2 linked regions of the Saccharomyces cerevisiae S288C genome follow. The gene in region 2 interacts genetically with the main gene of each other region. Each region holds a gene or a part of one and is shown on either strand. Other genes may lie near its edges.

What was found.
Region 1: mutations in HOS3 (region 2) and HSU1 together harm fitness more than expected from each alone (negative genetic interaction), as found in Saccharomyces cerevisiae (one large-scale study listed by BioGRID).

The regions. Positions count from the first base shown.
Region 1 is NC_001144.5:21,537-33,639, reverse strand, and holds HSU1 (cystathionine gamma-synthase), read right to left. Parts: upstream 10,072-12,103; coding exon 8,344-10,071; downstream 1-8,343. Other genes in the region: YLL054C (uncharacterized protein), read left to right, coding at 1-967; YCT1 (Yct1p), read right to left, coding at 1,936-3,531; YLL056C (uncharacterized protein), read left to right, coding at 5,335-6,231; JLP1 (sulfonate dioxygenase), read left to right, coding at 6,646-7,884; glutathione transferase GTT2, read left to right, coding at 11,801-12,103. UniProt on the Saccharomyces cerevisiae protein: Plays a role in inorganic sulfur assimilation during sulfur-limited conditions; catalyzes the conversion of O-acetyl-L-homoserine (OAH) into homocysteine in the methionine biosynthesis pathway.
Region 2 is NC_001148.4:326,206-338,520, reverse strand, and holds HOS3 (histone deacetylase), read right to left. Parts: upstream 8,916-12,315; coding exon 6,822-8,915; downstream 1-6,821. Other genes in the region: PEX25 (Pex25p), read left to right, coding at 1-1,085; YPL113C (glyoxylate reductase), read left to right, coding at 1,378-2,568; GTPase-activating protein BEM3, read left to right, coding at 3,035-6,421; isopentenyl-diphosphate delta-isomerase IDI1, read left to right, coding at 9,791-10,657; mitochondrial 37S ribosomal protein bS1m MRP51, read right to left, coding at 10,859-11,893; putative DEAD-box ATP-dependent RNA helicase DBP1, read left to right, coding at 12,257-12,315. UniProt on the Saccharomyces cerevisiae protein: Responsible for the deacetylation of lysine residues on the N-terminal part of the core histones (H2A, H2B, H3 and H4).

The sequences.
Region 1 (12,103 bases), on a different chromosome or scaffold from region 2:
TCTTGGAGAACCAAGGATGAAGAGCTTACATATCAATGTTCCCTCTTCCTTAGCAAATGAAGAATCTTTTGACTTTAGCACTTTTGAGGAAAATGAAACATTCATAGCTAATGTGATTAGCTACACTTGTACAATGAACATCTATGATAGCTTATCTTTGCATTTTGAAAATCAATGTTTCAAAAACGCTTTGGAGTACAAAACATATTATCACCGCTTTACTTTTACCGCTATACAAGATTATTTAACGTTGCTAAAATTAATCTCGGAATACTTTAATGGATCTCTTCTGCATTTACGGGAACCTTTTGGGTTTGCCACTCAGAAAGTTGTTCGCTTTTCGATACATCGATTACTCATATTCCAGGCCACCTTGCTCGTGAGATTATTTTATAAGAAGGATACATGCGACAGATCCTCTGCAGCCATGGGAATGTTGAATGATAGAAACGGAAGACTTAGTCGAGTCATTGAAAAAATGATCAAGTTGATGTCATATCATATGAAATTACTTGTAGAAATTGTTATCTCGAAACTGGAAAAGAGTTATCTCGGTTCGTTCATTTCTGTCTCTATTTTCAGGTATATCATTTATTTGGTGGATACTGACGCGCTGTCTGCGTTTATATCCGACTACTGGAAGAGTGACGCCGTTATGGATGAAAGATATTCAAGAATCCATAGGATTGTCGGTTTAAAATGGGGTATGGGAAGGGATAAGTCCTTTTCGTTCACATCAAAATTAAACAATCCACAATTCTTGGGAAGTCTTGATTTGGAGATTTTGGAAGAATTAGAAAAACTCATTTCCGCACAAGAATTTTCCAGAAACTTCACTGAAGATGTTGACGAATCTTTACAGAGTGAAATTGACCTCATGAATTATGACAATGAAGCCTTGAATCAACTAATGGCAATTGATCTTGATAAGCTACTTGGAATTTTCCCTAACCTGAGTAACTTTTGAGGGGAATACAAATTTGAAAGATACGAGGAGAAAGTTAGTAAACTAATGCTACTTTTAGTCTTCTATTTTTTTCGCAAGCACGATCATATAATCAATACCACACAAAGATTTTTGGTAGCTACGGTCCTAAGAAAATTAAATTCCCTCTCTAATCTGGGTGAGACCGGAATCGCATCAGGTCTTATTAATATGGGGTCAATTTGAAGAATTCAAACTATTTTTTAAACTGTTGTGACAATTCTTTAGCACAAAGAGTTCAATTTTGAAAATCTACCAATGTATATAATTTTTGCCGTTGTATTAGACAGGTTGTGCTCACTGTATATAGTCTCATTTAATAAATTTTTTTTTTTGAAGTGCAAATACCCTCAGTTGACATTCCAAGAACTATGGTTACCCACGAAAAACATCAATATGTTTTGAATTGTTATGTAAATTATCATTTACAAATTTTCTGGGCATATTGCATACCGAGGTATGTAATTTCAGCAAACTCGAGTGCTGCTTTCCATCCATACGGACAACTCAAGAACAAATGGGTACAATATAGTTGTCATTATTATGGCAAAAATATTGAGGGTTCAAAGGTTTTGCGTATTTTAACCACAGGCTAGAGGGGTTACTAGTCTCTGTCTTATAAAATGTTAGATTATAAAGTACAGAGAACAAATATCTACATGTTTTTTATGCTAAATTTGAAAGTTTAGGTGATTTATTTAAGAAAAACTAATCTTTAATGGACTTTTACCGGCTGTTTTGAAGAAATTGTCAAGAAATTCCTCTATAAATTTATTCAATTATCTATTATTTTCTAAGCAGTAAGCTATTTACCATTGTAAATGATTCTTTGGGAAATTGTGCCTTTCAAAGAGACACAGTTCCTCTTTCTTGCAGCCGGAAAGTTTAAAAAATTAATTTTCTAATTATTAAGTGTCAGATAGAACATTTACACAACAAAACATCAATATTTACAAAGGATATATAAAAGTTTCGTTTTCTAAATCAGTCAAATCAAAGACTGCCAAATTGTTCTCGTGGGTTACCACTTTCCCTTCTTCAATGGAAGAAGGATTTTCGCTTTCAATGAGTTGAATTCTGTCCAAATAATTTTGTAAATTTTCGTCATAATTTTTTAGTCTTTGATTATTCCTTCTTTTTAGTATGAAATGGATCAGTAACAAAATGGCTGGTGCAAGAGAGAATGATAAAACGATTTGAACAATCCAGGCAGGTAAAAAGCGAGGAGAGTCCTTCTCTCTCCATATTTGTGGTGATATGATATTAGCAATTCCCATCGCAAATAAGGACACCGAACTTCTTGTGAGTTTTTTGGTGTACCCAGATGCACTTGAACTTGCCCAGCTAAGAGCTATAATAAAAGGAATACCAAATATTTGTCCTGCCATACAGATATTTGCTAAGATACCAATCTTATTGTCCCATGGTAAAGCAGCTGCAGCGATGGATCCCACCAATGCTGGTAAAGTCCAAAAGATGGCTGTTAAAGCTGAAATATTTTTCCATTTTGCTAACATCAACGTAGCGATGAAGGCACAAACGACGGCGAAACCAGCACCGGCAACTGATACCAATGTCGAACCTAGAGCATCAACTCCACCCATTCCTTCAAATAGCAGGTTCTGTTGATAGGGCAGATTGTTGGCTAACTGTTGAAGAAGAAAAAACAATCCAAATAACCAGGTTATATAATCTTTCATTGCCTCTCTGAATTGACTCTTTTTGAAGACTTTTTGTTCAATGGAAGAGCCTGTGGATGCCTGAACTCTCCTGATAATCCATACCCTTTCTTGTATTGAAAAGAATTTCACATCAGCAGGATTATTAGGAAACCACAGAATTACAACAACCGTCATGATAAAAGTCAAACCACCAATGATGATAGTGAATATTTTCCATAACGAAATGCTGGGATTTGTTATATGAAGAACACCATAAGCAATAAACCCAGTTGGAATTGGAGACCCCATACATGCTGCAAAGAAAAATGGCTGAGCAGCAGCTCTTTCTGAAGCATCGAAGAACATACCCATAGTGGTAATTAATATCGGGATAACAACACTCTCTGTTAGCCCCAAGAAAAATCTCAACGCAACGACACCGGAAAAGTTGTATGCGGTACAACTTAGGAAAATAAGTATAGTCCATGTGGCCAACAACCCACCCAAGAATTTCCCAAGTGGTAACTTTTGAGCCAAGTATTGTCCAGGAAATTGGCCGATTGCAAAACCAACGTAAAACAGCGTATTTACAGTATTGTAAGTATTTTGGGTAAGACCTGTATCTTCAAAGAAGCCTAGAATCGAATCATAGGATAAAGTGGCTTTGTCCATGTAAAGTAAAAGGTTAATGGCAGAGACAAAGGTGAATATTGTGAGAAAAAGCTTTCTCTTTAATTTTTTTTCTTGTTCAGGCGTGATTTCTGGAACTGCTGCGTCATTCTCCTCCATGAATGCTAGCGTAACATCAGCGAGTCTCGAAGGAACTAGGATTTCATCAGAAGAGGAGATCGAGTCTGCTCCAATTTTTACGTCAACTTTTGACATTTCTTTTTTGTTATATTTTCTTTTTTATTTTCTCTTGATGTTTTGTTCAACCTTCAAGAAGTGCAACCTGAATAGCTAAATGTCGAATCAATCGTCTGTTTAAGTACTTTGATTTTTCCGACCTCTTCAATTCAACAGGTACGCATTTTTAACAATACCTATTCATCTTGACGTCCAGTTCCTAGGGACCTGCGAAATGTTTTAGCTATCTACATATTACATCACCGTTCCAGTGAGGGGAGCCACCGTAAATGGAAGAACTTCGAACACTATTGCATGCTGCAAAGACGTGCCTTCGATGCTCAGTGACTGAAATGTACAAGGGGTAGCCAGATGTCTTACATCAAATGGGGTGCCTATTTTTTTTTTCAGAAGCCACACATTTTTGTTTCTGCAATGCCACCTGCGACTTCGAAAAAGATTCGCGGAGAGTTAACAGTCATCGCCACAAGTCTGGTCCTTATCGGCCAATATGGGTGGCGCTATGTACGTTGTGTCACACTATTTTAGTCAGCAGCGCAGACCAAAGACTCCGTAACATCACAGAGAACTTTGATTATCCGTTATCTTGTTAAGTTTTCGCCGCAAAGCTCGGATGCTGAACTCGGATGTTGAACTCGGATGCTAAGAAGATATCCGTGATTTGCATCCGAGCTTGGCGTACTATTGCTATAGTGGTAGCCACAATTTAGAATTGATACTCGGAACCAGCAAGGGGCAGATGGATTGAATGTAGTTGATCGCGTGTCACGTGACCAAATCGTACTGGTAAAGAACTGAAAGCACACGCAAGTAGACAAAATCAGCATGTCATTTTTTCTGAAGAAATCTTTCATAAAACTATGAGTCTTCCCAATCAGGTGTGGTGAATATCCAGATGCTCTGGCCAATCTGTAACATGGTGAGGCTTAAGAAATTTTTTACATACTGGTCAGAGCACGATTGATGGTGCCATGACTTTCCGCTTTCGCCATTGCGAAGGGTGTTGCATAGTGTATACAAAATGCATGATACATAACATCTCAGAAGGACAGATATGAAAGGCCTAATTGTCGGAAGCAAAAGTCAGAGCTCACGTCCATACAATTGAGTTGTGCTGATTAAGGATTTCAAGGGCGAGCGCGCATCTAGTTAGCCGAAGGAAAGCGGGCTTGGCATCTGGAATCTGTTCATTTTTGAAGTCATATGATTTTTCATGCCATATATTTATCACAACGCAAAGCATTTACAACCAAGTAACCAATGAGAACGGTGGCCCCGTGATAAAACCTCACGTATGACACACTGGAACATAATTTTATTGTTTTTCACCTCTTAGTGTTTTCTCTTTCGCGAGGCAAAATCTGAAGACATGAAATGCAATACTCTTATGCTGCGCCAATGACGGTAGCACTAGGGTATTGTGACGTTATGCAAAAAGAGAGAGAAAGAACAATATGAAAATAGAGAGGACGGACATAAGTCTTCCGTGGAAGAAAGAAACCATCGTTTTTGCAGATGAGATTCTTTTTCCAATGCGGAAATTAGCGGAACTTCTCAACATAATAGATTGTGCTGGAAAAAGTTTAAAGGGAAAGCCGCGGATTTAATTTGCCATTAGTTCTTGGCTTTCCTGAAGATATGATTACTAACACAAGGATATTAAGGAAAAAAAGTAGGCGATGAAGACCCTCAAGTACTCAACTAACGTATAAATAACGGCTCCCGCTTCTATCAACTATGCTTACAATCACTCTTGTATTCATAAGCGCTAAGGCGTGATAACTCAACTTTTACAAAAGAAAATAAAAAAGAGATCAAAAAATGAAAGTATTTATAACTGGTGCTTCTGGCTTCATTGGTTCTGCCGTATTATCTGAACTAATATCCTCGGGTCATGAAGTTGTTGGCTTGGCAAGGTCAGACGAGGCTGCTGCAAAGATTAAGTCGATTGATCCTGCTGCAAAAATCCTTCGCGGTGATCTCAAGGATCTGGAAATTTTGAAAAAAGGTGCCACTGAATCTGATGGCGTTATTCATTTAGGATTTGTGCATGATTTTAAAAATTTTGAACAGTGCTGCGAAATTGACCGTCAGGCCACTGTAGCTATGCTAGAGTCACTTAAAGGTTCTAACAAGCCTTTCTTATATACGAATGGTACACTTTCTTTGCGACCAAACAAAGTTGCTAACGAACAGGATGGTATTGATGAAGATTCCAAAATTTTGCGTGCTGTCACTGAACAGGTTGCCTTGAGTTACAAAGACAAAGGTGTTTCAGCAAGAATTGTCAGACTCCCATTCTCGGTTCATGGCAAGGGGGACAAGGCTTTTGTACCAATATTAATGAATATTGCCAAAGCTGCCGGAAAATCTGGCTATGTCGGACAAGGCACAAACGCTTGGGCGGCTGTACATCGTTTGGATACGGCTCCTCTGTTCAGACTTGTTTTAGAGAAAGGAAAAACAGGACAAGTGTATCATTGCGTTGGTGAACAAGGTATACCATTCAAAGATATTGCGCGTGTGATTGGAGAAATTTTGAATGTTCCCGTGGCCTCTATCCCTGTTGATGACGCGGAAAGTCATTTTGGCTTCCTCACTTGTTTTGTCACTAGAGATGGCCCAGTTTCAAGCGAAGGTACCAGAAAAGAGCTGGGATGGCAGCCACAACAAATCGGTCTTCTTGAAGATATCCGTGCGAACTATAGCTTAAACTGACTTGAAGCTTATATTATGCGTTTTTTCTAAGAGCGCCATAGCATGTAACGTTTTTTACATACTAGTTAGCTTTATCTATATAGTCTACTGTGCAGCTTAAAATACCCAACTCATGCGTCTCATTGGACGAGCTCTTGGCCCTTGGAAAGGTGCTATATTAGTATATAGGGGAATGATGACAAAAGCCTCAATGTGGCTTGAGTCGATTTCTTATTTGGCGCCACAGGGCACATGGAGTTTATTTATCATACTACTAACATAAAGAAGGTATGTAGGCAATACAACAAGAATGCTGGAAAAGTTAAGGAGTCAGTAACAGTTCTTGATGACAGAAACATATAAAAAGGTGTACTATTGCTGTATAATCGGCCCTTTCATACTTGTACAAACATAGCACAGTAACCCAGTTAAAATATGTCTCCTGCAGCAGCTCAAACAGCAATCCCTCTTCCATCTACCGATTTACCAGTCAAAATCATTACAAATGGGTTGAAAAACCTGAATTATACCTCCAAGCAAGGTTACGGGAATTTTGATACCCATTTTTATGATGGCCAAGATGAGGTCTCTCCATCTGGTTTATTGAAAATCCGTAAATCTTATAGAGAGAAATCGAAGTATCCAGATTATTTGCCTACATGGGATCCTACTGAAAAGTATGGCCCGCTGGAATTTCACGAATACCATGATCCTGCTTTGAGAGCTGACGGTAACTTTTCAAACCTTTTTGCAAAAGAAAACGTTGGTCAACTAAAGGTGAAGAAGATCACCCCGAAATTAGGTCTCGAGATCAATGGGATCCAGCTAACTGATCTTTCTGATGCTGCAAAAGATGAACTCGCTTTGCTTGTCGCCCAAAAGGGAGTAGTTGTCTTTAGAAATCAGAATTTTGCTGACGAGGGACCCGATTATGTGACTGAATACGGAAGACATTTTGGCAAGTTGCACATTCATCAAACTAGTGGCCACCCTCAAAACAATCCTGAGCTGCATATCACTTTCCGAAGACCTGATGCGGAAGAATTTGCAAGAGTTTTTGATGACTCGACATCATCTGGTGGCTGGCACACAGACGTCTCTTACGAGTTACAGCCACCTTCTTATACTTTCTTTAGTGTTGTTGAAGGTCCTGATGGTGGTGGAGATACGTTATTTGCGGATACGATCGAGGCTTTCGACAGGTTGTCGAAGCCTTTGCAAGATTTCTTGAGCACGCTTCATGTCATCCATAGCTCAAAGGAACAGGCAGAGAATTCACAGCGCCAGGGCGGCATAAAAAGAAGAGCACCTGTCACGCATATTCATCCACTGGTCAGAGTTCATCCTGTCTTGAAAAAGAAATGCTTGTATGTCAATCGTGCATTTTCTAGGAAAATAGTCGAATTGAAAAGACAAGAATCTGAATCACTTTTGAATTTCTTGTACAATCTAGTGGAGAGCAGCCATGATTTACAGTTAAGAGCCAAATGGGAACCTCATTCCGTCGTCATTTGGGATAACCGCAGAGTTCAACATTCAGCAGTGATTGATTGGGAAGAACCAATTCACAGACATGCGTTCAGGATTACTCCACAAGCGGAAAGGCCCGTGGAAGATCTAAAGTTTTTGAATGATGAAAATTATTATCCTTCTTCATTAACTTTGGATATTTGAATTTCAAAGATGCAGGTTGTATATAGCCGGAATTCGTTGCAGAGGCAGTTCCAACGTTGCTCAACTTATTCTTTTTTTTGGTTAAAATTGTGTATAAACCTTAAAATAGCGGCGACAACACTTCTTTTTTATAGTTTATAGTAAACCCCAACCTGTGTACATATAAACTAAAGAAAAACTGTGACGCTTTTATTCTGGTAAAGAAACTCTGAAGTTACAGATCAACTAATTCAGAGCGATATAATGTTGAAGTCAATAAGAAGGAACATCTTCAGTTTATAAACAACTAGTGATCTTATGAGCTCTGTCTACTTTCATTAATTAAGATCCATGTGAAGGTTCCAGAAAAGACTTCCTCCAAAAAAATTATATGCTAGAATGGAAAAAAACTTTTATAAACAATATTCTATAAAGATTATAAAGAATTCTTGATTTTTGATATTCTACTCATGATCTGCTTCATGAGTGTTTGGAGCCTCTGCTTTTCACAACATCTAAAGCACTTGAAAAAACTTTCAATAACCACTGGATATCTTCTAAACCTACGCTTACTCTAATAATGTTGGGGTCGGCCCCAAACTTGGAAACTTCTTCTAATTCTGAGTGGTGCGCCAGATGGACATATGGACATGCTAAGGTAAAGTTAGTACCATTAGAAGGTCCCTTGAATACCTTTAAAGAGTCATAGAATGCTTTTGCATCGCCCTCATTGAAAAAGGCTACAGAGAACAAGCATCCATAGCCACCACGTTCATTACGTACACTTTCGTAGTTCTCAAAGGTCTCCTTAGAAGTAACAGTTGGATAATAAATCTTTTTGCATATTTTCCCCTCCTCGGGTAAAAGCAAATCATTCAACAATATTCCTGTGTTTGCATTAGCACGTAAAGTTCTATCTTCAAAATCCCTGGAATTACGTTCTAAAACTATCGCATCTTCACACCATAACAAATCCTCGAAATTAGCGCTCCTGAAGTACTCACGAGCATATGGATACAGAGATGATTTCGGATTTAAAACGACAGAGCCGCCCATTACATTACTAGCACCATTGAAAAGCTTAGTCAGGGACGTGCTGACTATATCAGCATAGGGCAAGATGTCAACGTTAAGGCCCCCAATAGTATCATCAATTACAATAAAAAAGCCATACTGGTCGGCCAAACTCCTCAATTTTTTCAAATCCGGCATATTCAGCAGAGGATTTGAAGGTGTCTCGACGAAAACGGCAAGAATGCGTTGTTTGCTTGTTTCTAAAAACTTTTGTAATTCGACAACGTCTCTAGAATTTCCAAATCCAAAAAATTTACATTTTCCAAATTTAGTCATAATGACCTGCGTATCTTTGAAAGGGAAGCCGAAGATGCCAACAGTGTCACATAATAATGGCTTTTTCTTTTGGTCAGAGGTGGTCTTGTTTAATGAATCTCCTGAATTCTTCTTCTCCTCCCAAAAGGTGAGTAAATTACGAGCCGTAGATATTGCAGACATGCCACTTGATACAAGATAAACGTCTTCATTTGGGTTGAGGTTGAGTCCCTCCCAATTCGGGGTTTTCTTCTCCAAACCAAAGGGCCTGAAGCGATTCTCAACTATCCTTCCCTTTATCAGGTTCTTTGCTTTCTCCTCCCCCTTCTTTGCTGCAAAAACACCAGCCTCTAGCTCACGCAATACCTGCTCTGAGCCATGATTAGCGCAGTCAAGAAGTTGGTTGACAGACAACGCCAATCGACTAGATACACATTCACCTCTTAATTTCCAATACTCTTTCACAGTCTCGAACTCTTCCTCCGATGCAAGGACAGCAGCAATGGTTAGCACCAATTCCGCCGGTTCTTTCGACGTTTTTGCCCCACGGTTTTTAATCGTAACTGTTTCCACTTCAAGGTGAGCTTTACTTTCAGGTCCTGAGACAGATTTTACGTACTCGAAACACTTTAAACCCAGGTTAACGGATGGAAAAGGACGACAGTTTTCTGAACCTCGCCCAAATTTCTTAACAAAGTAAGCACAAAGCCTCTGGACGGGGGGTTGAGGAAAGTACCTCGGATATCCTGTAGCCATTTTGCCTATTACCTCTGGCACCTTTTCCGCATAGCCTATTGCCGAATCCCATGTAGGAATGCCAAAAGAAACAGCATAGTCTAGATTGCTGGGAAGGGGTTGCCCAAATTCAATTTCCGTCATAATAATTTCCACGATGATTAATAGTTGTTCAGTGGTGGTTGAGTACTAGATTTAAAATTTATGTTTTACCGCACCAGAGAAGAATCACTCAATGCTGGAATTGATGAATTGCATCTTGACAATAGGCATTAATATACTTTTTCAAACACATCATTGTAGTGTGCGGCATAACAACCGTGGCGCGTGTCAAGGACTTCTCGGAACACATGCTAAAGCTCCAGTCTCTATCCGTCTATTCTTTAATTTGCTCGTTTAAGAAAGAATAAAATGCCGTATACAGTTATTTCTTCCGTAAATAAATCTTCTTCAACATCCTTTCTTGAGAGCAGCCACACAAATCTAGAGGTGTCTGACTTAATGCAACACAAGGTCAATCTGAATTCAAAGCTGTGGCTGCATATTCATTAAACATATCTTTGAAGGATATCATTTTAGGTATTGCATTGAGTGGGCTTTTGAATCAAAGCCTAAAATGGGAGTATTATGAAAGCAGAGTAAAAATGTTCAGCACGTTGATCTTGAAAGCAGACGGAAAGTCTTATTAGATGAAATTAATGCTGAAATCTCGAAACTGTTCGCTCAGCTACCATGTGCATGTGTGTGGTGTTGGTATATTTTAGTATACTTCTTGATAAAGGTACCAAAGTACTGTATACACATGATAATAACTGGTTAGTCATCCTGGTGTTTTACTTCTTGGCATTCGGCTCGATCATGAGGATTTCGGGCCGAACCTGCTCCGAAGAAATGAAGAAATCTTTCGGCCAGGCATCATATCACAATGGGTTGCAGAATTTCTCGAAGGAATCACCTGTAGGAGTGAACCTCGAAAAAAAGAAAACACATATTTCATGCTGCATCATCCTTGCAACACAACGCTTCCTGCAGAAGTTTTCGAACAAAAGGCTTGGCAATCCTCACTTACACCCCACTCGCGAATCCACATTTTCACGTGAGCTTGCAACAGAGAATAATAGCGGAAACTTTCCCGTATTACTTAGATATCATATCTTCAGACAGCTAGATATCGAAAATGGAATTTTATTATGTCAAGTTCTGCAGGCGCTAATTATTGTTCAAGTAATGTTTTCGTGAGTCTAAAAGCTCGTACAATAGTTCTTTTTTTGGAACCCATTATGAAGCGGAGTGGATGAATAATACGGAATGAAAAGGGCGATAATGGCAAACAATTACGAGCAAAATTCGATGGATGCCGTATCACATTTGCGACAAAAAAATGATCAAAGATGGTAATAGAGTAAAATTTCACGAATGGAGGGCAGATACAAGAGCGAGATGCCAATAGATCGCAGATTAATGCAGCTGCATTTTCATCAGAAAGAGGTGCGCGTGAACTGTAGGAACAGTAGTGCAATTGGGAGTACGTTAACCACACATTTTGAAATCAAGAAGGAAAGTAGGCGCTGGAAATGACCCGAATCCTATAATCGGACAAGAAGGACATAGAAATCGGTATTTACAGTAAATATTCAAAAGACCTTCTACTACCGTGTGCAAAACAGGGAGTGGATACAAGTGGTTTGATCAAATGGAAGTATTTGATACTTCAGTTTCTCCGTTCCGTGTCCGTTCCCTTAGGTCGCGCTTAGTGCTCGAATTTCTTTCACTGCTTACTAATTCATTCGTTTACGTCTCAAATGATTAATAATGTGCTTCCTGCTAAAGGATAGAAACTTGGTGCTCTATATAAAGTACCTACAAAGGATACATGAATGGCAGAGGTTTCCTGATTTACAATGGAGGTGAAAAGATGAAACAAAAAATGATAATATATGACACACCCGCAGGGCCTTATCCGGCCCGAGTCCGCATTGCCTTGGCTGAGAAGAACATGCTATCAAGTGTGCAATTTGTGAGGATCAACCTCTGGAAGGGAGAGCACAAGAAGCCTGAATTTCTTGCCAAGAACTATTCAGGCACAGTGCCAGTGCTTGAACTTGATGACGGGACTTTAATCGCTGAATGCACAGCCATTACTGAATACATTGATGCACTTGATGGTACACCCACT
Region 2 (12,315 bases):
ATTCATCAGACGCCGGTGCAGAGAAGTTCAGTGCAGGCAGTGGAAGCGAGTCGCATACTGAATCCTCGAGAAGTGATGATGAGGATTCTCAAGCAAAAACAAAGATGGTGGATAATATTACCATCTTAAAATATATATTGGATTCTCTATCTGGTAGAGACAAATTAGCCAAAATTATCAAATACGCTCTGGATATATTAAAACTGTTTATCGAAAAGTCTAAGCGAAATTTAACTGTTTTGGACCCTTCCGTATTAACGTACTATACCAAGATTTTGAAAAATCTGACTGTAAAAGTCGCACTAAGGCATCCAATCACGGTAATTAAAGTACTTCTCCTGTCTCTTTTGAGAAATTTTGACAAGAAAATTGATTTTATCAGTCAACAATTAAGTACTTTTAGATATATTTTAAGGTTTGGCGGCACACCATTCCGAGTGTGCAGTTTCTTGGGGAAATTCAATAAAACCAGAAAGTGCAACTTTCAAATTGACCAAATTAAGAAAATATGGTTTAATGAAGCTTCATTGAGAGAATTTTTGGACTTGTATTATGGTATCTTTGATGAATTAGACTTGCTATACAAATTGAAAATATGGACAAATAAATCATTCTATTCCTTTGTCAGTAGACAAGAGTCTCTTGCATGGCAATACGACATTCTTTTAAGCTTGAAGGACCATTGGCTCAACCTGCAAAGCTTACAGAAGAGACAATTAGAATTGGAAGTGCAACTAAAAGTTCAAAATAACGCGTTACTACTCTCACCCATACTGATGCATCAGGCCCATAAAGACGATGGCTCACAATCGCCAATTAGGAAACAGTTGTTAAATGACCTAAATGTTAATAACGACGCAGAGGTGTTAATACACAAACAACTAAAGGCCATCAAGGATGAAAAGACACTTGTTTATTTAGATATTGCAAGATTATCGTTTGATTGCATGGCTAATACATCAGATATTCTAAATTTAAAAACTCCAAAGGGAACGTATGCCGTTCTGTCCCTGGGATCCGGCTTAACTGGACTGGTTAAACTTTGGATAACAACAAAGAGGTCACTTTGCTCTTCAAAAGATTGATATATAAAAATATGTATACATATAGATATGTACATATATATGTGGCGAATAATGTTTTACCTCTGCATTTGTATTGTTATTTGATTCGTTGAATAAGATAGTTTGGCGCTCGGTTTTTGCTCTTTTTCTTCCGTTTTTATGTCATTGGGGTGGCGGTAGTCATTCCGTTTTACGGTATGTTTATTCTGACACTTTGACGCAGATCTAAAAGGTGGAGTGTGGAGTACAAATAGCTCTCTCTCAAATACAGAAAAATACTTGAGTGTACAAAAGTAGCAACCTTTAAATAACAATGATTACTTCAATTGACATAGCAGATGTAACTTATTCTGCCAAACCAAGAATTTTGGTGCCTTATAAAACCCAATGGGAAGTCGCCAGTCATCTTCCTGAATATCGCAAACTGGCAGAAAGGGTAGAATTCTATAAATATGAGATGTCCACAAAGGATGATTTTGTTAAATTTTTGGAAACTCATAGAATAAACGGCTTTTGGCTCACTGAGGAGTTTTTCACTGTGTTAGGAAACCCTTCGAGTTATATTGAATTCTTCCCCGCATCTTTAAAAGTAATCCTTGTACCATGGGTCGGCTGTGACTTTATTGACGGTAAGTTATTAAGATCGAAAGGTATCACTTTATGCAACATTGGACCACATGCTGCTGACCATGTCACAGAATTGGCTATTTTCCTAGCAATTAGCTGCTTTAGAATGACTTCATTTTGGGAATATTGTTTTAAATACGTGGAAAATGGTAATGTTGAACAGTGTAAGAAATATATCTCTAGTGACTCGTATGAAATTGTTACAGATAGTTACCACGGTCAGGAAATGAAATTTCCCTCTCGAACAGACAAATGCAAGCCTAACAAGGATAGGAAAGTGGTACATTTAGCAGAAAAGTACACGGTTGGCGGGAAAAAAATGGAATCTCCAATGAATAAAAAAGTTCTAATATTGGGGTTTGGCTCCATCGGACAAAATATAGGGTCTAACTTGCACAAAGTGTTCAACATGAGCATTGAATACTACAAAAGGACCGGTCCCGTCCAAAAGAGTCTACTTGATTACAACGCTAAGTACCATTCTGATCTAGATGATCCAAATACTTGGAAGAATGCGGATTTGATCATTTTGGCCTTGCCCAGTACGGCCTCTACAAACAATATTATCAATCGTAAAAGTTTGGCCTGGTGTAAAGATGGTGTCAGGATAGTTAACGTTGGGAGAGGCACATGCATAGATGAAGATGTGCTACTAGACGCTCTTGAATCTGGAAAAGTGGCAAGCTGTGGTCTCGATGTGTTTAAAAATGAGGAAACACGCGTTAAGCAAGAGTTACTTCGCAGATGGGATGTTACAGCTTTGCCACATATCGGCAGCACAGTTGCCGACATGGTCATAAAGCAGACACTCATCACACTCGAGAATGTGCAGGACATATTTGTCGAGGGAGGTGATGGTAAGTATGTGCTCAACTGAACCATTCATTATGTTACAAAGATAGCATTTCAATTAGGATTACATACGTATATGCATTGCTCTTTATACCACAACTCTAAGAATGTCGAAAGTTATATGGCGGCGGTGATGTTGGAAAAAAAACGCGGCCGTTTTATAAAGAACAATAATCGTCTGACTAGGTAAAGTACCAGATAAGAACCGTTTTTATTGCGCGTATTGGTATGTTTTTTAAACGGAATTTTTCAAGATTGTTAAATACATCAACGATATATCCATTTTAATCACCGTTTACCTTTGTGTGTTAGCTTTGTATCTGGAAGTTTTTTCTCTTTTCTTCTTTGTCCTTGCCTTCTACCATTTTGCCTTTTGTTCGAGTTCGTGATTACATCAGGCATATACAACATCACGTTTGTTGAAACACTGGCTGCTAGGAGTATCTGTGTGTATATTCTAGAATAAACTCACACTCAACTAACAGCACGCAATGACAGATAATTTGACCACAACTCATGGTGGTAGTACCACCCTTGAATTGTTGGCGCAGTACAATGATCATAGATCCAAAAAGGACAAATCTATAGAACATATAGAAAAAGGAACATGTTCAGGAAAAGAAAGAAATCCGTCCTATGATGAAATTTTTACGGAAAACATTAAGCTAAAGCTACAAGTCCAAGAATATGAAACTGAAATTGAGAGTTTGGAAAAGGTTATTGATATGTTACAAAAAAACAGAGAAGCTTCCTTAGAAGTTGTGCTTGAGCAAGTTCAAAATGACTCAAGAGATTCATACGTTAACGATCAATCATTTGTGTTACCCCCAAGATCTGCTGAAAGGAAAGCGCATATCAAGAGTCTTAATTTGCCAATACCGACATTGTCCCCTCCATTGCAACAAGGTTCAGACGTTGCACTTGAAACAAGTGTAACGCCTACAGTACCTCAAATAGGTGTTACATCAAATACTTCAATAAGTAGGAAGCATTTACAGAACATGATACTAAACGATGAAATAGAAGCAAATAGTAGCTTCTCATCTCCCAAAATTATCAATAGATCTGTCTCAAGCCCTACAAAAATACATTCAGAACAGTTGGCTAGCCCAGCTGCCTCTGTTACCTATACGACGTCTAGGATAACCATAAAATCACCTAATAAAGGTTCGAAATCTCCATTGCAAGAACGTTTGCGTTCCCCTCAAAATCCTAACAGAATGACGGCTGTTATCAACAACCATTTGCATTCTCCATTAAAGGCCAGTACCTCTAATAATTTAGATGAGCTGACTGAAAGTAAAAGTCAACAACTAACTAATGACGCGATACAAAAAAATGACCGCGTTTATTCTTCTATAACATCCTCTGCATACACTACTGGAACTCCTACTTCAGCAGCCAAAAGTCCATCATCCCTTTTGGAAGTCAAGGAGGGTGAAAACAAGGCTTTGGGTTTCTCTCCAGCATCTAAAGAAAAACTTGACGACTTCACCCAATTACTTGACTCCTCATTTGGCGAAGAGGATCTAGTCAATACGGACAGTAAAGATCCTCTGTCCATAAAATCCACGATTAACGAATCTTTACCCCCACCTCCAGCGCCTCCAACTTTTTTCTCACCTACTTCTAGTGGAAATATAAAAAACTCTACTCCTTTATCAAGCCATTTGGCTTCTCCGGTTATCTTGAATAAAAAGGATGATAATTTTGGTGCTCAAAGTGCAAAAAATTTAAAGAAACCTGTGTTAACTTCATCACTCCCCAATCTTTCTACAAAATTGTCAACAACAAGTCAAAATGCTTCTCTTCCTCCAAATCCTCCCGTGGAAAGTTCATCAAAACAAAAACAACTTGGAGAAACGGCATCCATCCATTCAACCAATACCTTGAATACATTTAGCTCAACACCCCAAGGTTCGTTGAAGACACTTAGAAGACCTCATGCAAGTAGCGTGAGCACCGTGAAGTCTGTGGCCCAAAGTCTTAAGTCGGATATTCCATTATTCGTTCAACCGGAGGATTTTGGCACTATCCAGATTGAAGTACTGAGCACATTGTACAGGGATAATGAAGATGATTTATCCATTTTAATTGCAATCATAGACAGGAAATCCGGTAAGGAGATGTTTAAATTTTCAAAATCTATTCATAAAGTTCGCGAATTAGATGTATATATGAAATCACATGTTCCCGATTTACCATTGCCCACGTTACCTGATAGACAATTATTTCAGACTTTATCACCTACAAAAGTGGATACGCGAAAGAACATATTGAATCAGTATTATACAAGCATATTCAGTGTCCCTGAATTTCCCAAAAATGTTGGTTTAAAAATCGCCCAATTTATTAGTACAGATACAGTAATGACACCTCCAATGATGGATGATAATGTGAAAGACGGATCACTTTTGCTGAGAAGACCAAAGACTCTAACAGGTAATAGTACATGGAGAGTTCGGTACGGTATTTTGCGCGATGATGTTTTACAATTGTTTGACAAAAATCAGTTGACTGAAACTATTAAATTGAGACAATCTTCTATAGAACTTATACCCAATCTCCCTGAAGATAGATTTGGAACGAGAAATGGGTTTTTGATCACTGAGCATAAGAAAAGCGGACTGTCAACCTCAACAAAGTATTATATTTGTACTGAAACGTCGAAGGAACGTGAATTATGGCTTTCTGCGTTTAGTGATTACATTGATCCTTCACAAAGTTTATCGTTATCTAGCTCGAGGAATGCAAACGATACTGATTCTGCATCTCACTTGAGCGCAGGAACACACCATTCTAAATTTGGAAACGCAACTATCTCAGCAACCGATACTCCATCATATGTCACTGATTTGACCCAAGAATATAATAATAATAACAATATTAGTAATAGTAGCAATAACATTGCTAATAGCGATGGTATTGACTCAAACCCATCTTCTCACTCTAACTTCCTAGCAAGTTCAAGCGGGAATGCAGAGGAGGAGAAGGATAGTAGGAGAGCCAAAATGAGAAGTTTATTCCCTTTTAAAAAATTAACCGGCCCGGCGAGTGCAATGAACCATATAGGTATTACAATTTCAAATGATTCGGATTCTCCAACATCTCCTGACTCTATCATTAAGTCACCAAGCAAAAAATTAATGGAAGTATCCTCTTCGTCAAATTCTTCTACGGGTCCACATGTGTCCACTGCAATATTTGGCTCGTCACTAGAAACGTGTTTAAGATTGAGTTCGCATAAGTACCAAAACGTTTACGATTTACCGAGTGTAGTTTATCGTTGCTTAGAGTATCTTTACAAAAACCGTGGTATCCAGGAAGAAGGCATATTTAGACTAAGCGGGTCCAGTACAGTTATCAAAACTTTACAAGAAAGGTTTGATAAAGAGTACGATGTAGATTTATGTCGGTACAATGAAAGTATTGAAGCTAAAGATGATGAGGCATCTCCAAGTCTTTACATTGGTGTGAATACTGTAAGTGGGTTACTAAAGTTGTACTTGAGAAAGTTGCCCCATTTATTATTTGGTGACGAACAATTTTTGTCGTTTAAAAGAGTAGTTGATGAAAATCATAATAATCCTGTTCAAATATCATTGGGGTTTAAGGAACTTATTGAATCTGGCCTAGTTCCTCACGCTAACCTATCGTTGATGTATGCTCTTTTTGAACTGCTGGTAAGGATCAATGAGAATAGTAAGTTTAATAAGATGAATCTAAGAAATTTATGCATCGTGTTTTCCCCAACTCTAAATATTCCAATTAGTATGCTTCAACCATTCATCACTGACTTTGCGTGTATATTTCAGGGTGGTGAACCAGTTAAAGAAGAGGAAAGGGAGAAAGTAGATATACATATTCCTCAGGTTTGATGGTCTAAAATTGTAGAAATATAACGTTGCCAGTAAACCTCCATTGATTTAATGATAGAAAGAGGGCGAGATGTATAGAGGCTTCTTTCTTTCAACGATATATTTGTAATAATAAAAAAATGTCAGGCTGATAAAGCTTATAGAGTGACTGTCTTTTTATTCCTCAAATGTTATTTACAATACCATATAATAAAATTAGTATATTGTCAAATAAAATAAGAGAAAAAAACTAACTTCTTGACCAAATGGTCGAAGAGCTGAGATAAAGAAGGAAAAAAATTAAAATTACTAACTATACAAGGAAATATAAAAATAGAAAAATTGTGTTACTAAATACAAAAAAGTAATATATGCGTCACTTCTTTAGTGGGTTCAAGACAACATTATATATGCATTGGTATCACCATCTTCCACCACTTCTTGTTGTATGTTTTCTTGAAACATGAGAAATCATTGATATATCACTATCGTCATAAGTTGGTGTATTTGCGTTTTGAGGCTGTCTTATGCGATGCGGTTTCGTATTGGAGGGAATTTTATACATTCCATTACCTTGTAGACGGCGTTGGTGCGAGTTTTTCCAATTTTTTTCTTTTAGCTCATGGTCTGAATCTTCATCACCTTTTTTTTCAATTTCTAAGGTCTCCAAATGTCTAGAAATATCATCAATGGTAATATCCTCCACCGTGCGATTGAAAGTTTTGTTCAATTCTTCATCGTAAACGTATTCTTCATCTTCATCCTCACTGGAAAATTCTTGTTGCAAAAACGGAATTTGGGTTTCAGCTGCTCTATTATTTGACGAGAGCTGCTTGACCTTGGTATCGCTTCTAATTTCCCTTTGTTCCTGTTTTTCCGTGCTTCTCGGCTTGTTTTCATGAAGTTCTTTTTCTGGGGAAGCGTTGCTTCTATGAGATCTGATTATTCTTTGAGCAATTGTCGACGTGGATGCTGGTTCGACAGTAGCCTTTAGTAGAGAATTAGAAGGTGCGCTGTTAACTGCGTCTTTAAAAATGATATCATCGAATTCCGGTATCATTGCTCGTCCCAGCCTGATAACTTCTTCTGCCCATATTCTTATGACATCTTTTGCTCTTTTTGTCTTATAGGGTTTCCAAGCCGGTTTGCAACCACGAACAATCTCTTTAACGACTTGTTCAGACCCCCATTCTTTAACCCAATCTTGGTTTTGTAAACCGATCAAATGTGCGAAAACACCAGAACATATAGCTTTATCAGAATATCCACCCTCCATTAGAGACAAAACTTTGCCATGACAGTGCATTTGTGCTAATTTCAATGCATCTTTGGTGAACGTTGTATAAAAACTTGTAGGAACGTTGACACTATGCCTTTGCATTGAAGTTTGCTCAAATTCTGATGCATCGAAACCTGCGCTTATGACAACCAAACCTTTGAATGGTCTCCCTTGTTGATTCATTTCTAGTTTTGCGCTCCTGAAAAATTCATCTGCTTTAGCAAATAAAGTTCTATATTTTGTCCTGTATAATACATTGAATTCTTCTTCGGTTGTCCATTTGGATAAGTGAATATTCCAGATGTTTAGGTCATGAGAGTTCATGATACAGGTAGATGCATTTTTAATGTTCTCCTTTGTGGCAAATCCCGACTCTGTTGGAAATGAATTTATATCATGCATAGAAAAATAACCGACTTTGGGAAATTCGGCAAATTTCTTACCAAAATCATCATAAGATGAATCTTCAGGTTCCTCCTCAGGTTTGAAACCCGCACGTTTCCAGCAAATGTCTTGGGTCCCATCACCGTGGTGTAGATCGAAATCAAGCACGACAACATGCGTGACGTTGTAAGTATCATACGCATATTCTATGGCTACATGTGCATTGTTTAACAGACAAAAGCCGGATGGTGTACCATAGTGGCAATGATGACCAGGAGGCCGTATAGCAACAAAAGCTCTGTTACTAATATGTTCTGCAGATGGTCCTTTGAAAATTGAGTCAACACCAGTTTCAATGGCCCCAATTGTTCCCTGTAGAGCTTTAATTGTCTTTGAGCTCAAGTATATATCACCTGAGTTCCAAGTATCTGGGACTTCGATTTCGCCTTTTAGCAATTTAGCATCTGCCATTTGGCAAAGTTCAATTAACTCAGCCGGCCAGCTACTGCCATGAACTTTAAGCACATGAGGTGCCATCAATGAACCTTTCCTTTGATGCGAGGATTTCAAGGTGAAAAGGGATGGATACATTGTAATCGCAGCTGATATACCCATCGAGCTTGCTAATAATCTTTCTGGTCGTTCGACTATAGTTTTCCTATACGATTTTGTTACCCATTCTCTCGGGAACACATGCTGTAAAGAATATGGGGATAGTACTACAACAGCTTTTGCAGATTCCGGTATTTGTGCGGCAGCTCGAGCTGCCGATATGACATTAGGGTTATTTTGAACAAATGCTTGAAATTGCTTATAAAATCTCTCCAATGGATCTGAATGCTTGGAAGACATATTATATCGTCGAATTTCTCTGTTTACTTCCAGAGCCCTTTTTTTCGTTATATTTTCAGTGACTTAAGAAGTATTGGAGAAACTGAACTGATCAACTCCACACGAAAAGAAAGTTTGTAATTTGGAAAAGGACTAGTTTTTCAAAAGAGAAGATCTGATAATAGATCAAGCGATAAAAAAATTAACAAGATCTTATTGTTCAATTCAGAAAAAAACGTAAACAAAAAATAGTTCTTCATGTTTAAAGGAAAGAGTAAAATAGTATTATCCCTTGATTAGTTGTTTACAATTCTTGAAACTTTCCCAAACTGTTGTTTACATTTCTCTAAAACAAAAATAAAAACATGAGCAGGGTAACACTCAAGGGTCCTAAAAAAATTAGGTTTTATTACAGAAATTGTATAGGACATTTTTAATATTACGAGGGTAAATAAATAACAGTCACAGAATAGTATAGGTTATTAAGGGCTTCATGCGGCTATTTTGCCTATATTAATTTCTTTTTTTTTTCTTTTTTCTTTTTTTCCGCTGCTATCGGTAAAAGTTTCCGTTCTTGCTGGAACGAAATGGACAAAACTTAATTGTGATTGAAATTTTTCCAGTCAACAGTTTCGCAATGACGATGCCCAGCCGATTCTTTTCCCTTTAATTGTTATTAAGAAACATGATTATTCATAACTCTTTTCTTGTCGATGGGGGTTGCCTTTCTTTTTCGGTCTTAACTCCATTTATATTTATTTATTCATTTTTATCTATTTAACAGGAAACAGTTTTCTAGTGACAAGAAGGCGTATATCCCACTTAATTCAATATTAGAGTATTCGTATTTGGAATACAGGAAGAGTAAAAATAAGCCAAAAATTCATTACACCTCAATGACTGCCGACAACAATAGTATGCCCCATGGTGCAGTATCTAGTTACGCCAAATTAGTGCAAAACCAAACACCTGAAGACATTTTGGAAGAGTTTCCTGAAATTATTCCATTACAACAAAGACCTAATACCCGATCTAGTGAGACGTCAAATGACGAAAGCGGAGAAACATGTTTTTCTGGTCATGATGAGGAGCAAATTAAGTTAATGAATGAAAATTGTATTGTTTTGGATTGGGACGATAATGCTATTGGTGCCGGTACCAAGAAAGTTTGTCATTTAATGGAAAATATTGAAAAGGGTTTACTACATCGTGCATTCTCCGTCTTTATTTTCAATGAACAAGGTGAATTACTTTTACAACAAAGAGCCACTGAAAAAATAACTTTCCCTGATCTTTGGACTAACACATGCTGCTCTCATCCACTATGTATTGATGACGAATTAGGTTTGAAGGGTAAGCTAGACGATAAGATTAAGGGCGCTATTACTGCGGCGGTGAGAAAACTAGATCATGAATTAGGTATTCCAGAAGATGAAACTAAGACAAGGGGTAAGTTTCACTTTTTAAACAGAATCCATTACATGGCACCAAGCAATGAACCATGGGGTGAACATGAAATTGATTACATCCTATTTTATAAGATCAACGCTAAAGAAAACTTGACTGTCAACCCAAACGTCAATGAAGTTAGAGACTTCAAATGGGTTTCACCAAATGATTTGAAAACTATGTTTGCTGACCCAAGTTACAAGTTTACGCCTTGGTTTAAGATTATTTGCGAGAATTACTTATTCAACTGGTGGGAGCAATTAGATGACCTTTCTGAAGTGGAAAATGACAGGCAAATTCATAGAATGCTATAACAACGCGTCAATAATATAGGCTACATAAAAATCATAATAACTTTGTTATCATAGCAAAATGTGATATAAAACGTTTCATTTCACCTGAAAAATAGTAAAAATAGGCGACAAAAATCCTTAGTAATATGTAAACTTTATTTTCTTTATTTATTTACAGAACTCTGAATATACATTGATTGTTCACATTTTTTTTTTCTCTTCTCAATTTCCCTTGATTATATTCAAAAGGTTATTGGCCTCTTGAATGTTTCCCACTGATGGTCGACGTGCCCTTCTAGAGGTCAATGGTTTATAAATTGGTCTCTTATTGAAAAATTCTCTGGTCTTGTCATTTTGTGGTTCGAGTAATCTAGCGTGCATCGAAACAGAACCATTTTTCTCCATAGATGCCTCCAAGATCTCGAACAAGAACGTTTTCATTCTGATGAAATCTCCCATGGAGTTAAAGGAACTAGGTGGTGATTGGAAAAATACCACATCGGCCACAAACCCACCAATAGCTGCCAGCCATTTATTGTCGTTGTTCTCCTTAACAACGTTCAAGATTCTACCGGGTACTACAGTCCTTTGAATGACACCATTTGGTGAGTTTTTTAGCTTTCCTGGCAAGCTGTATGATAATCCACCTGTACCAATGATTTCAGTGTTAAATTTTTTATTCGTTTTTGTTTCCAACTTTTTGTTTAGAAACTTCACTACATAGTCTTCCAGCTTATTAGAATTCAATTTCAATTCATCCGGATGATTTTCCACCAGCCACTCTTTAAATTCATCTTGAAACGATCTAATTAGTGCTGTTATCTTCTTCAAACGCTTCTTCATAGCAGCAGGCGAAATATCTGTATCTCCTTTCATTTCTTTGAATAAGGACAATTTAGCATGAGACTCATCCTCAGGACGAGATATGTACTTGAAAAATGGATTTTGTCTGCCTATATTAGACACAATTGGTACTCCCATTTCTTGAAATCTTAGCCTATTCCATTGCGTACCGCCTCTAGGTTCGAATGTGGTAATTCTTTCCAACGTATCCAAATCGTTGTACACCAAATATCGAGATTTAATTTTCGAAGGAATAGCGGATTTCAACCCCCATTCTTGTCTGTATAGTGTCGATGGCTTAGTTTCGATGATTTGATGTGTTGGATGAAATTTTTTGCCAGTGTATGTCAATGGTTTATGATTGTTAGCTACTTGAGCTATTCTCGACCGTCCAAGCAACTCTGCCAATGTCATTTCGTTCAATTTTTTCTAAAATAAAGAAAAAGAAAAAGAAAAATGATCGAAACAGTCTCACCAAGGGTTGTAGCAAATGTCTGTATGATTTTTTTTCTTCATCACGGCACCTATTCGTATTGCTCCTTTAACTCTACATCTAAGTTCTTCATTCTTTGATTTCTCAAAACAAATATCACTGTCAACGTAAATATTACCCCGCGAGTTCTTTAACAATTTTAAGGGAAGGTTACTTAAGGTCATCTCTGAAGTAATGCCTTTATTTTATAACAAGGATTATTCATGATTATAAAAGATATCGGTAGTGTCAGTTAAAGGATATTTTAAGAAAAACCCCTTTGAGTGAAAGTATTACAAGAAAAAATGGCAGACTTGCCACAGAAGGTATCTAATTTAAGCATCAACAACAAAGAGAATGGTGG